2 linked regions of the Elephas maximus indicus genome follow. The protein of the gene in region 1 purifies or fractionates together with the protein of each later gene. This does not show direct contact. Links are inferred from orthologs where the notes say so. Each region holds a gene or a part of one and is shown on either strand. Other genes may lie near its edges.

Region 1 (7,094 bases):
CTTCTTTATTTTGGTGGTCTCAAGAGGTTATCTTCATATTTGCATCACACTTGCATTGTTCTCAAAATTGTGGAAATTTCTGTTGGGTCCCTGAAGCAGAAAGAAACACTAAACATGGTAATATTTATTGTAGAAACTCTTGGGTGAAGTGATTTGACATACATCATTGTTGTTGTTGTTAGTACCATCAAGTCAATTCCAACTCATAACAACCCTATGTACAACAGAACAAAATACTGCCCAGTCCTGTGTCAACCTCACAATTGTTGCTATGTTTGAGCCCACTGTTGCAGCCACTGTGTCAATCATCTTGTTGAGGGTCTTCTTCTTTTAGGCTGACCCTCTACCAAGCATGATGTCCTTCTCCAGGGACTGATTCCTTCTGATAGCATGTCCAAACTTCGTGAGATGAGGTCTCGCCATTCTCATTTCTAAAGAGCATTCTGGCTGTACTTCTACCAAGACATCATACGATTCTTATTTCATGTGCTTAATCAATGTTAGGTTCACAAATACATAAATTCATGTTACAGTAAGGTAGGAACTTTTAGACAATTGTTCTATAACACATGAACACTATTATCTACTGTTTTTATTGTTTATGCCTATTTCATGCCTTCACACTTGCTGGTCTGCCCGGTAAACCCATCTGTATGTTGTATGGCTCTCCTACTCAGCAGTCCAATACGCTCCCTTTACTAGCAGTTATCACACTGAACTTTTTTTTTTGTACTCTTTTTTTTTAATAGTGCTTTAAGTGAAAGTTTACAAATCAAGTCAGTCTCTTACACAAAAATTTATATACACCTTGCTATGTACTCCTGGAAACCCTGGTGGTGTAGTGGTTAAATGCTACAGCTGTGAACCAAGAGGCTGGCAGTTCGAATCCGCCAGGTGCTCCTTGGAAACTCTATAGTGCAGTTCTACTCTGTCCTATAGGGTTGCTATGACTCGGAATCAACTTGATGGCAGTGGGTCAGTGGGTTATGTGCTCCTAGCTGCTCTCCCCCGAATCAGACAGCACACTCCCTCTCTCCACCCTGTATTCCCTCTGGCAATTCAGCCAACTTGGTTTCCCCTCAGCCCACTCACCTCCCCTCCAAGCAGGAGATGCCCACATAGTCTCATGTGTCTACTTGAGCCAAAAAGCTCTCTCCTCACCAGTATCATTTTCTATGTTATAGTCCAGTCCAATCCCTGTTTAATGTCTTAGTCATTTAGTGCTTCCATAACAGAAATACCACAACTGGGTGGCTTTAACAAAATTTATTTTCTCAAAGTCTGGTAGGTTATATCCGCCAGACGCTCCTTGGAAACTCTATGGGGCAATTCTACTCTGTCCTATAGGGTCACTATGAGTCGGAATCGACTCCACAGCACTGGGTTTGTTTGTTTCGTTTTTTTTTTTTTTAGTAGGTTATAAGTCCAAATTCAGGGCGTCGGCTCCAGGGGAAGGTTCTTTCGGCTCTGGAGGAAGGTCCTTGTCCTCAATATTCCCTTGGTCAAGTAGATTCTCAGGTGCAGTGACCCTGGGTCCAAAGGATGCACTCTGCTCCCTGCTTTCTTGGTGGTATGAGGTCCCCAACTCTCTGCTTGCTTCCTTTTCATCTCTTGAGAGATAAAAGGTGGTGCAGGCCACACCCTAGGCAAACTCCCTTTACCTTGGATCAGAGAGGTGACTTGAGTATGGGTGGTGTTACAATCCCACCCTAATCCTCTCAACATAAAGTTACAATCACAAAATGGAGGACAACCACACAATACTGGGAATCATGGCCTAACCAAGTAGATGCACACATTTTTGGGGGGACATAATTCAATCCACGACATCTGAAGACTTGGTTTTGGGAATGGTTCCAGTCTTGGGCTAACAGGTCTGGGGCGAACTTTTTTATGTCTCTAGTTCCCTTACTATGTGGTGAGCTCCTTGAGGGCAGGGACCATGACTTAGATAATTGTTTTATCATCAGGCCCTAGCACACTCCCAAGGAGCCCTGGGGGTGCCACATTTAAGCACTCAGCTGCTAACTAAAAGGTTGGCAGTTGTAAAACACCCAGTGGCTCCACGAGAGAAAAACCTAGCGATATGCTTCTGAAAAGATTACAGCCAAGAAAGTCCTATAGAGCAGTTCCACTCTGTCACATGGGGTTGCTGAGTCGGAATTTTCTGGACAGCACCCAACAACAGCACCCTAACCAAAAAAAATCCAAACTCACTGCCATTGAGGCAATTCTGACTCATACTGACCCTATAGGGCAGAGTAGAACTGCCCCATAGGGTTTCCAAGGAGCACGTGGTGGATTCGAACTGGCGACCTTTTGGTTATCAGCAAGCTCTTAACCACTGTGCCACCAGGGCTCCAACAGCACATTACCTGGCAATATTAGATTTTTAGTGTTGGTTTGAAGAAAAAAACTATACACCATAGATGATAATTCAGAAAGCAACATCTAAGACCAGAAAATTAGCTGCTGTTCAGGGAGAGCAAACAGTACACAGAAGTGAAACAGTGCATTTGGAACCTGACAGCTCTGGTGACTGGTGTGCAGTTTAAATAAACAGAGAATGATGAGGTAAGCAGGGACATGCTTCCAGGGTAAAGTTCAAAAAGATAACACCTAGCGTGGAAGATGTTTCCCAACTTGCTCTGAAGCCTCACCTCCAGCTACTCCAGCCCATTAGCTCTGGCTATATCCAATTACTCGCAGTTTCCAAAAGACACACTTCTTCCACACATCTCAAGGCCTGCCTTTGTGCTTTGTCCTTTGCTGGGAATATTCTCCTCCCTTCTTCAAAACTCAGCTCAACTGTCACTTTCCCGGGGACGTTTTCCCTACTCCATCAGTCTAATATAGACCCCTCCTCCCCTGCTGACCTGCCTCTTGCTGTTATAGTTCAATGACTTCTCCGGCTCCCTCACTAAAGACTAAGTGTCGTGGACCAGGCTTTTCCACCTTTCCATTTTCAGCTTCTCCGGTGCTAGATATTCACCATATGTTTGTTTATGTAACTGAATAACCCAGGCCCCTATTTTCCATTATGCCCTCGTCCCAAAATTTGAAAGCGCATGAGCTCACTTTATAGACTGTAGATCCAGGTTCACATACTAACAGAACCTGAAATTCAGATAAAGTCATTAGAACAACTTTTTACATTTAGCCACTCTCGATGGTACTGCGTCCCCAGCTAGCCAAACCAGGTGAAAGCCTGGCCAGAGAAGGGCTCAAGGCTCTCAGCTTGCGCCAAGACATCCTAAACGTTTCCCTATTTATTTGCACAATCCCCTGAGCTCCATGTGTAGGAAACAGCATGGCCCAAGGCTGGGACCTGGACTTGCACAAAGAGCTCTTTCAACCTCCCATTTGGTGAATTACAAGATCCTGTATGGAAACCCTGGTGGAGTAGTGGTTAAGTGCTACAGCTACTAAGAGGTTAGCAGTTCAAATCTGCCAGGCGCTCCTTGGGAACTGTATCGGTTAGTTCTACTCTGTCCTATAGGGTTGCTATGAGTTGGAATTGACTCAACAGCAGTGGGCTTGGGTTTTTTTTTTTTTGTATTCTGCGTGAAATACAGCAAGACCCAAGGCCTCTGACACTGGTCTGAAGGCCAGGCCCGCCTTGCTCAGCATTTCTTGCTCGGCATGTTCCCATAACCTCAGGGCTGAGGAACTAAACCGCTTGAAGACGCCGAAAGACGCAAATGAGGCGAATGCAGAGAGGAGGGGCTGCAGGGCTTTGTTCTGAAAGGTTTCCGTTCAGCAGACCGCATTCGCCAGGGGCCCTGCTCCAAGCTCTCCCTAACCCTACGAGCGGCGGCGTCCACTTCACCCATTTGAATTCTCCGAGTTGCCTCGGAATTGCAGAGCAAACTGAATAATCCCTGCTTCCGCCCGAGACTTCCGCATCCCGGGCCCGCCGGGTAAAGGAAAGGGGCTCCAGAAGGTTCCATGAGCTTCAAGAACCCAGGCTTACGCCCACCCCCCCACAAGGCCTTTCGGCACAGCGCCTCCCACCCCGAGCGCCCCCGCGCCGTTGCCCAGGTAACTGCGGGGAGGTGGCAGCGGCCAAGAGGGGCGGGACTTCCGGCGAGTGACGCGCCGCGGCTCGGCTACAAAAGACGACGGCTGCGGCGCTCCGAGGGGAACTTTCCAGAACGCTCGGTGAGAGGTGGAGGGGTGGCGACTCCCGAACTGCGTACAGCTACGCGCTCCGTCCCGCTCCCCCACACCAGCCTCGGTCCGCTCAACTGTGAGTTTCAGTCCTCGCGCTTCCCCTTGTCTCCGCCTGGCGCCATTGGTGGCGCCGGGATTCCGGATGGAGTCGCGGGCGGGAGGCGGTTGGCTCCGCGTGGGCGAGAGGGTTGTCGGTACCCATATCCACGATTCTCAGTCTGGAGGGCTGGTGTGTGACTCGGCAATGAATCTCCGGCTCGCAGTGAATGGGCCCGAGACCTTGAACTCTCCCACTCCTCATCCAGTCTGTGGACCCAGAGGAGGCGCCGCCTTCCTGCCCCTCTGTCCGCGCCCCCGACCCCCCCGTACCGTACTTTCTCGGGGTGGGCGGCCTCGCGCGCACGCGCAGAGGGAGGCAGGGAGTCGAGGGGCTGCGGGAGGAGCCTGCGGCTTTCGTTTCTTTCTCCCCACCCTCTCTTTGTTGAGGGCTGGGCTTCGCTCTCCACCCCTTCGATCCGTGGTGGGCGGGAGAAAGGAAGGAAACCTTAACGGTCGGCGCCAAATGCAGGGGAGAACCTGACGAGATGTAAAGTACCCTGCCTTATGGGGAGAGGGGGTTGGACGGTTAAAGCGGAGGAGTGTAAACCCTGTGATTGAGAAACATCTCTAAGGACTTGGGGGAGGGGAGCTGTTTCTCTGGATCTGGTGTTTCTGATTATTTCTGTAAACCAATTCCCCCTATCCCCAATTGTGCCCAAACGTCTTTTTTCTGGGGAGTATATGGCGTTATTAGACTTACCAAAGACGGTAAAACGTGAGAATCCACGGACCGAACCTACTATGCTTCTTTTTATTGTGGCTGGCTGTCACCACCTTTGGGAGGGGGAAACAAGCAACCCAGGTAATAATGTGTTAGTTCGGATACTTTAGTGTGGGAGAGTGGAAGCCAACTGCTACAAGGAGCCCTTGAGTTATTCGTTGGTAATTACTGTTTTATGTTTAGTCTACTAGAATTTGTGGCTGAGTTATCCCAGAAATTGTTACTTTTACGGTGAAGTTTAGATAGTGAGGTGGTATTCCTCTAATCAGATTTGGCGAAGGACTCAACTTTTGTCTTAACTCTGACTTTACTAATTAAAACTACAATTTGAAAGTCGGTTAAAATGGCATTTTCTTATTTCAGGCTGTAGAAAATGGTGAAAGAAACCACTTACTATGATGTTTTGGGGGTCAAGCCCAATGCCACCCAGGAAGAGTTGAAAAAAGCTTATAGGAAACTGGCCTTGAAGTACCACCCTGATAAAAATCCAAATGAAGGCGAGAAGGCAAGTAGTACGTCCTTAAAAGTATCTGAATAGTTCTTTCCCAGGTGTCTAGTTTTTATAGTACCACGTGAAATTGAGTGTATCTGACATAATGGCAAAAGGAGCCCTGGCATGATATGGTTAAGCGCTGTGGTGCTAACCAAAAGGTCAACAGTTCAAACCCAACACCCACCAGAGGCTGCATGGGAGAAGAGATCTGGCAATCTGCTACCATAAAGAAAGATTACAGCTTAGGAAACTATGGAGCAGGTTGCTATGAATTGGAATCAACTTGACAGCATAACAACATAATGGCTGTGCTTTGTAAGTTTTGTTTTAAAAAATGAAATTTATTCTTTTTTTTTTTTCTCAAACAGTTCAAACAAATTTCTCAAGCTTATGAAGTGCTTTCTGATACAAAGAAAAGAGAATTGTATGACAAAGGAGGAGAGCAGGCCATCAAAGAGGGTGGAGCAGGTGGTGGTTTTGGCTCCCCCATGGACATCTTTGATATGTTTTTTGGAGGTGGTGGAAGGATGCAGAGAGAAAGGAGAGGTAAGACAACCTAGTCCACATGCAGCAAATTAAAGTAGCCATTGGTCAAAACAGATTGTTGAGCAACCATAAGTTTTAAATGCATGTTTATGTTGGTATAATGTTGGGTACTTAATTTATGGTGTAGTTTAGATTGAGGTTTGATGTAACAATATGCTAAAAAAAAAAAATTTGCTAAACCAATTAAGCGGTAACAGATTATTCGTAAAGGTCTTGCATGTACTATGATTAATCAAACACTAAAGAAACAAAATAACAGCAACATAATTTTCAAAGTGTTTTTTATAGATACCAGGCTCATAGCGACCCAGTGTTAAATACAGTAAGTAGCCTCTTCAGTCAAAGGTGATCTGAAGTAAATTTTATGAGGGTCATACAGCCAGTCCACTGTAGAGCCAGAATCAGAACACAGGTTCATTGTCTTCACATAGCTTGTTAGCTGTAATCTTGATTCAGCTTTATTTTATCAAAATACATGAATTTTTATTTAGCAGAAACGTAGTCTGCAGGCTGTAGAAATATTGTTCAGTACAGTGTTCTGGTCAAGAGAAGACAGTCTCACCTTATTTCCTGTATGTTTTATACAAACAAGGGCTAATGAGTAGAGGCCAACTTTAGAACAAATGGGCAAGTCGTTAAATTTCACTCTGAGCTTTTTAAGAAGTTGTTTTGTTTTACTTTTTTAAATAAGGGATTGACCTAATAGCTATCACTGGCAAATTTTTTGTGTGGATTAAATCAACGAGAGGTTGCTTTTTGGCATGAGACCAATTGGACCAGAAAATACATGCTTCATTAAGATCCAGAAACTTTATTTTCTTGTACTCTAGACTCTGTATAAAGTGAGCAGGGCAGTTTTCATCATGCTAAAACCATTTACATAGGGTTGTGTTTATGATATTCCAAAGTTGGAGCTAAGAACAGAAGGGTGTATAGTAAATGCCATGTAGCATTTCATTGGAAACTAAAAGTGTTTACAGGTGCAGAAAGGAGTTGGAAAACTTTCAGTTAGGTATAAGGAAGTACTGTTTGGTGGATAAAGTCCTTGATGGAAAGACTACT
Region 2 (7,866 bases), about 38 Mb from region 1:
ATTTGCCTAGGGACTAAGTGATTGAGTCTGTGGACGTCAGAGCCAGCTGCGCACAACCTGTTAACCTCACGCATCCCGGTCCTCAGGGGGCCAGGAAAATCACTGAGTGTACAGAGCCTCAGTCCCACCTGGGAGGCAGGGCTGCAAAGGGACAAGAGTAAGGCTTTTGGTCAGGCAGATCTGAGTTCAAACCGGAAGAGTGCTCCAAGAAGAAGAGAGGCTGAAAGCAAGAGCTTGGTACATTCGGGGACCTGCAAGTTTTCTATCTGGGCAGAATAGGTGTGGCCAGAAGAGCAAGGGTGTCCTTGGGCAGAGGTACCCAAAAGGTCTCTGGCTGTAGAATTGGGGGGTGGGGGCGTCGTGAGGCAGGGAGACAGGTATGCCTGTCAAGAAACCAGATGAGTAGTGACCTGATAGTGTTGACCCAGAGCCTGGGGCAAGCCTGAATGGGGTAAGTGGCAGGAGGAGACGCACGTGAATGTGAGGCCCTGCTATTCCCAAACCCTCAGTTCCAGCCTCACCTGGGCAGGAAGAGCGGCCCCGTGCAGACATAGACATTTTGGTAGCTACGCGTCAAGCTGCGGCTGTACTTCTCCAGGTTGTTCCAGGCATTCTGGTTGAGGTGGGGCACCTGGGAGGAGAGGTGGTGCTCAGTGAGACCCAGGAAGAGACTTCCTCCCGTTCTTGCAAGGGCTGCCCTGAGGATGTGGACACTGGCACCAAGCCAGGAATATCTAGCTGGGGGCAAGCAAGAGGAGGAAAGTGAGGCTGAAGGAGTCACTCCATCACACGTGGCCATGAGGACAGAGCCTGGGTAGGGCTGATGGGGTGCTAACAGGGCTTTGAACTGGTTAGAACCAGGTCAGTCATGGCCAAGGAACCTAAACCCAAACAGACCCCAATTTTAAAAAATTTGGGTGGTCCAGAACCATTACTGGAATGGGAAAAATTGCAGGTCAAAGCCCTGGAATGGAAGACTCAGAAGAGGAGTAGTGAGCCCTTTCCAGAGCCTGATGGGTGAGACTGGATTATTGCCAGGATTGAGGACAGTGACACATTCAAAGTGGTGCTGTTGGCTGCCATCTTTGAGCAGGGCACCGCTATTTCCAACTCTGCACAAATTCGCAAAATCCAACAGTAAAAGATTTGGTTGCTATGCAATGGGTACGCTGCCCTTGTTTTCTAAAGGGAGATTTACATTTCTGGCAGGTCTTCCACCTATGATTTTTCCCATTATGGTTATGGGGTTACGGTTTGCCCAAATTTTAGAAATTTGGTTCTGTCCTGGTGTTGCTTCCTCAGCCATGATTGAATGAGGGAAGAACCTGTCTGAAGCCCTGGGTGCTAGTCACCCTCACTCCATCTAGGACAGGAGAACCAGCACCCCAGGTCTCAAAGCCTTTTCTCCAAAGAGTTGCAAGAAGCAATAGGGCACATTTTCTCTCACTTTCAGAGAGAGAAACTGAGGCCTGGTCCCTGGAGGGGCTCTTGAGAAGGCCAGTTCTCCATAATTACCTCTTCTCTCCTTTCCCCAATCAAACTACATTCACGGCCCAGCTGGGAACTTTAAACAATCTGCTACTGACTCTATCACTTTAGCTCTCCAGACCTCAGTACAATGTCTAGTCCAACGGGTAGGGGCTGTGCCAGTAGGAAAGGATAAGAAGTCAGGTCACTGGCTCGACCCCTACAACTTCGGAGTCCCCATCATTCTGCATCCACTGGGTGCCTGGTCCTGCTGGGCATGGGGCCAATGGTAGGACAGCTTGTCAAGGGTGCACTGGGATTGGTACAGCCTGATAGTGTGCAGCAGGCAAGGTAGGGCAGTGGCTGAAAACTCAGGCTCCTGTAGACAGACTGCCTGGGTTCTCTCCCTGAGGCCCACTGACGCTGAGCTAGTCGCTGTACCTCTCTGAGCCTCAGTGCCCCCGTTATAGCAATAACTAACATATTTATTGAATGCTTGCCCGAGCCAGGAAGTGTGCTCAGTACTTTCACATGCATTGTGTCGTTAGTACTTCGGCTCTACATTTTACACCCGAGAAAACTGAAACTCAGGCAGGCGTCTAGGGCCCGCGGTGAGTCAAAGCCCTAGTACGACTGCAGAGCCGGAGCTCGGAGCCCCGACACGCTCAGTGTCCCCAGTACTCCGAACCTTCCTCACTGCGCGCCTGACCTAGAACGCGCGCTCAGCAGCTACCCACTCTGCAGATGGGCAAACCAAGACTCAGAGAGGCGAGGCGGCTGGCCCCGCGTCCCACAGCCTGTGCGCGGGCACTACCTGGGGCGCGACGTTGCTCAGGTAGAAGGTGTCGTCCATGGCCTTCTGGCTCCAGCGGTGGTTGGCGGCGGCAGCGAGGTGGCCGCGGTCGAAGCCGCTGCCGCGATAGTCGGCATTGGTGGCTCGATGGTACGCGTGCACCGAGTCGTCCTCGCGGAAGTCGCACGAGCGGCGGTCGCCGTCGCCGCGGAGCCGCTCGGGCCGCAGCTGCTCTACCACCCAGAGAGCGCTACGGGTGCGAGGGTCGTAGCACAGCACGTACGACTCGCGGCTCTTGAGCTGCGCCAGCCCGGGCAGCCCGTACTTGGCCAGCCCTCCGGGGCCGCTGCCCGCCGGTCCCCTAGGCAAGGCGGGGAGCTCGGCCGCCGCCGCCACGGGCAGCACGGGCAGCCGGCCCAGGAGCCCCGGCGCCGCCCGCGCATCTGCCCTCCGCCGCCGCCAGCCCTCTGCGGCTGCGCCCAGCCCCGCGCCGAGCGCCAGGGTCAGGCCGGCCCTCAGAGCCCGCATGGCGGAGGACCGAGACCGGGGAGAAGCGACGGAACGCGGCCTGAGGGGTCGAGGGAGCGCGGCGACCTTGGGCGCCGGACTCGCAGGCTCTTAAAATGGCTGCTGCGGCTTGCGGGGTCCACCGTAAGAATAGGGGCTGATGGGGCGCGGGACAATTACAGTGTTTTAGGACATTCCATTCCCTGCCGTTCAGAAGGGTTAGTGCTAACAACCCAGTGCCCAGTCACACACACACACACACAAAACAAGACCCAGTGCCGTCGCAGAGGGCAGTAAAACGGGCTCCCGTCGCCCTTTCTTTGCCCTTTTAAGACACGGGCGTGAGGGGCGAGGCACCAGCACCTCAGGCCACTATTGGCCTCCGTCAGGCTCAGCTCCGCCCTGCCTCCGCCCCCTGGTCTCCACGGAGGGACTCCGCGCTTGTGGGAGAAACTCGTATGTAAGGAGCCCTAAGAAGTGTCAAGCTTTGGTCTAAACTTCGTTTAATCTTCCAGAGTCCCGAGAGGGACTTCCTAGTTGGCAGAACAAGGAAAAGACTACAGGTCTGTCGGACACCAGAGCGAGCCCATTCTCCTAACAATTACAGCATAAAATAAGCTAAAAGTCCCACATGATTGGCAAAGATTTCCTTAATAAACACCCAGCGCTCAGAACAATGATGCAGGCAATTGATGCTATCAAACTACTGGTTGAAATGGAAACCGATAAAACTATTACTGAAAGCAGTTTAGCAGTATGTGTGGTGCTGTTAATTACGTAATACGGCCCTTCTAGCCAAAGCCTTTGTGACTTCCATACAATGATTGTGTAGGACCATGCAAACAGGTGTATGGAAACTGTGATGGTTAAGGTCATCCATCAACTTGGCTGGGCCATGCTTTTCAGTGGTTTGGCAGTTCTGTAATGATGAAGCTGTCCTCCATTTTGTGAGCTGATGTACAATATCCTCCATTTTGTGATGTGTTGTAAATACTAACCGCTATGCCTCTGGTTATGGTCCCATTTGGGAGTGAGTTGTCCATTATGTTAATGAGGCAGGATTAGGGTGGGATGTATCTTGAGTAACCACCTTACTGGAGGGTGTGACTCAAGTCAACACCCTTATTGAAGTCATGTCCTTGAGTCACACCTTTTATCTTACAAGAGATAAAAGGGGAGAGACCCTAACATGGCAGAGGGGAGGGGGCTCACTACCAAGAAGGAATAGCTAGGAGTGGAGCACGTCCTTTGGACCCAGGATCCCTGCACTGAGAACCTCCTAGACCCAGGAGACAAGAAAGCTGTTAACACTAGAGACTGTGAGAACCAGCAGCAGGCAGAGGCAACAGAACAGGAGACCAGGAGACAGCACAGTGGGCTTCCCTAGCCCACAGAACAAGAAAGCTGAGAGCCTTCCCCCTTGTTAAGTTAGAGAAGGTCAGATGCCCTCACCACCACACCATTCTTACAGGATGAAAAGCCTTACCTTTCAATCTTTACTGGACTTAAGTAGGGAAATAATCAGAAATGCAAGGACTTCAAAAACAAATATTCATTACATTATGTAAAAATAAGGGCTGGGATAAGCAATGTAACAGAAATAGGAACTAATTAGACATTTTTAGCATGCTAGATAACATACCTGATATACTATCCATTGACTACACAAAGGCATTCCATTGACTATGCAAAGGCATTCTGCTGTATGGATCATATCAAATTATGGATAACATTGTGCAGAATGGGAATTCCAAAACACTTGTGCTCATATGGAACCTGTACATAGACCAAGAGGCAGTAGTTCAAATGGAACAAGGGGATACTGTGTGGTTTAAAATCAGGAAAGGTGTGCATCAGGGTTGTATCCTTTCACCATATTCAATCTGTATGCTGAGCAAATAATCCAATAAACTGGACTATATGAAGAACGAGGCATCAGAATTGGAGGAAGACTCATTAACAACCTGCAGTGTTACAACCATGCTTGCTGAAAGCAGAGGACTTGAAGCACTTACTGGTGAAAATCAAAGACTACACCCTCCAGTGTGTATTACACCTCGACATATAGAAAATAAAAATCCTTACAACTGGACAAATAACCAACATTATGACAGAGAAAATACTGAAGTTGTCAAGGATTTTTTTACTTGGATCTACAATCAATGCCCATGGAAGCAGCAGTCAAATCAAACAACATATTGCATTGGGCAAATCTGCTGCAAGACTTCTTTAAAGTGTTGAAAAGCAAAGATGTCCCTTTGAGGACTATGGTGCACCTGACCCAAGCCATGGTGTTTTCAATCGCCTCATATGCATGAGAAAACTGGACAATAAGGAAGACAGAAAAAAAATTGATGTCTTTGAACTATGGTGCTGGTGAAGAATACTCAATGTACCATGGATTGCCAGAAGAACAAACAAATCTGTCTTCGAGGAAGTACAGCCAGAATGCTCCTTTAGAAGCAAGCATTGCAAGCCTTCGTTTCACGTACTTTGGACATGTTATGAGGAAGGACCAGTTCCTGGAGAAGAATATCATGCTTGGTAAAGTAGAGGGTCAGCGAAAGATGAAGACCCTCAAAGAGATGGATTGACACAGTAGCTGCAACAATGGGCTCAAGCATGACAATTGTGAAGATGCCACAGGATCAGGCAGTATTTTGTTCTGTTGTATGCAGGGTTGCTATGAGTCAGAACCAACTCGATGGCACCTAACAATAGTATATAGTATTCATAAAAATTTTTTCATCATAAAACTTACTCTAATATATAAAACTATCAAGAAAATAATTATGTAATAAAAATTGCATTTGCTTAAAAAGACTAACATGCTGTCATTGATTTTGTGGGATTATGGGTAACTTGTTTTATTTACATGTTTTTCAGTTTTCAAAATTTTTTAAATCTAAAAAATAACTTACTGTGTAACCATGTACGTTACACATCCTCTCCCAGTCCACACTCCCACCAGCTATAACTTGCTGTGGTTGAATGAGGTCTGCACAATCTCTTACGACAAGACTTCCTGGCCTTTCTTAGACTGCTCAAGGAAGACTTCTAACTCCGTCCCTGTTTAGACTTTGTTCCCTGCTCCCAGAGACCTCTCTGAGGTTTCAGCCCATTATAGCACCAATGCAAAGAACACATGATTTCTTAAAGACAATTTATCAACAGCATTGATCCAAGGAACAAAACAGATTAAAAAAAAAAAGCAGACTAACATTCTGACCCTCTGGAGTGAAGCCCGCTGAATTCATACAGCCCAATGTGTGTAAGTGTCCCAAGTCCTGAGGGCAGCTTCTCAAGGAGGAAGCCTTGGGCACTCTGGCTCTCTAAGGAGCTCCCTTGAGAGTCTGGGGAGAGGAAATCACCAAGGGAAGGTCTTTTCCTAGGCAGTATCCCACTGTGGAGCTCAACCTAACCAGGTCATAGTCCCTTTGATCTTGACCTTCACCTCAAGGTCAAGAAGAGGGCACTGGAGCCAGGTCTACCACTTAGGCAAATTAGATGGAGTGACTCAGGTAGTATGGCCCCAAATAGAAGGGCAGGTGGGCAGGCAACAGGGAATGCATCAGATATCCTGGGCAGTATCTGTTGAGTCCCAGGCCATGAGGGGGTTGGGGCTGAACCACCCACTGACAAGTCCTAAGAAGAGGGTATTCCAGGCTGGTGGGAAGCAGTGTGTGCCCTGTCCAAGGGGCCCTGGAGTCTGGCAAGGATACTAGCTCTCTTGTCTCCCTTCCATTCAGCTCCAGTACAGCTCCCTCCCAGCCAGGACCTGGTAAAACCAGGAAGGTCTGAAAGGCAGGGGAAGAGAATGCTGGCTCTGACCCTGGGTCACCAGGAGGACCACGTCTCTAACTCATTTCCACCTTCATGCCGCATCCACCATCCCCAAACCAAGCACTTGCCAATCTGCAATAAATAACTAGGAGTCTGAATAAATAGTAAAGTCTTCCAAATACTGTGTGTTGGGAGGAAGCAAAAAGGCAAGTGCATCAAGTCCCAGAAGAGTCCAAGGTATAGCCTGGGAAAGGAGTCACCTAGGGAAGCGGTTTCTTGCCTACGGCTGGGCTTGGGTGGCCAGCAAGAAGTCCTGCTGCTAGAGTCAGGAGGCTTTGGGGCCAACAGGGTTCCTGGGGCCCTGCTCCTGTGGGCCAGTCTGGGGAGAGGCTGAGGACCCTTGCTACCCAGGCTTCCAGACCCACACTACCTGCTTCCTTACATAAGAAGGTTCGGGGGTTGTCTGAACAGTCTTACCACTCTCACAGCCCAACACTGGGAGTAGTTAGCTGCCTCTGCTTAGAGTACATGCCCCAAGACCTGGGGACAGCACAAGCAGGTGACCAGAGAAGGGCCAGCACCTCCTCCCACCTGCTTGGGAGGTGCAGGGGCATGCAAAGGTGCTGACACAGACTCTCCTGACAGGATCCAGGGCCTCTGAGCTCATTTATGCCTGGCCCCAGGTAGGCACCATCTGGGCTAGAACCTGGAAGCCAAGGGAATGTCAACTCTTCAGAAGCACTTGGATCCAAAACCCTGGAATAGAATTTTCTTAGCAACCTTTTCCCTTGGAACACAAACCACCCTAGAGAGGGAAGAGCCTTTGGGAGAACTTCTGGAAAGATACAGGTCTCCCTCTTCATTATTTCTCAGCAGCTTTTGGTTTCCAAGTTTTTGTCATAGGGGGCAGGTTGAGTGGCCTCTAGTGAGGCACTGTGAACTCCCTCCCAGACTGGGGAACCCAGGAGCCTGGGACTCGGGGGTGGGAACAGGATGCAAAGGCCGGGGTTGACGTCCAGGGGCTATGCTGGGCCAGGATCCTTTCTGTCTCCTGGGTTCATGGGAGTTGGGGAGGGGTCAGGAGGGAAAGAGGTCAGGGATAAGGCACCCCAAGAGAAAAAAGGCAGAAGGAGAGCAATGGAGAGAGGAACATCCGGAGTGAGAATGTCACACCCACCCTCTGTGAAGAAGTGAGGGGAGAAGAGAGGGAGCCAGAGGGAGAGAGACAGGGACAGAGAACAGAGAGACCTAGAAGGATTGAAAGATACCCTTACACTAATCCTCAAAGACACAGAAAAAAAGCAGACATACCTGGG

The links. Proteins that work in one complex are often made in the same cells at the same time.
Region 2: the proteins of DNAJA1 (region 1) and ENDOG purify together in Homo sapiens (affinity purification with mass spectrometry; 3 studies listed by BioGRID and IntAct, counting the BioPlex papers as one, with this or other methods). This does not show direct contact. The link is inferred for Elephas maximus indicus from reciprocal best matches to the Homo sapiens genes DNAJA1 and ENDOG.

What each region holds. Positions count from the first base shown.
Region 1 is NC_064827.1:42,214,798-42,221,891, forward strand, and holds the start of DNAJA1 (dnaJ homolog subfamily A member 1), read left to right. Parts: upstream 1-4,078; 5' UTR 4,079-4,249; intron 4,250-5,356; 5' UTR 5,357-5,366; coding exon 5,367-5,498; intron 5,499-5,854; coding exon 5,855-6,032; intron 6,033-7,094.
Region 2 is NC_064827.1:79,804,779-79,812,644, reverse strand, and holds the start of ENDOG (endonuclease G, mitochondrial), read right to left. Parts: upstream 3,017-7,866; 5' UTR 2,789-3,016; coding exon 2,282-2,788; intron 632-2,281; coding exon 522-631; intron 1-521. UniProt on the Homo sapiens protein: Endonuclease that preferentially catalyzes the cleavage of double-stranded 5-hydroxymethylcytosine (5hmC)-modified DNA.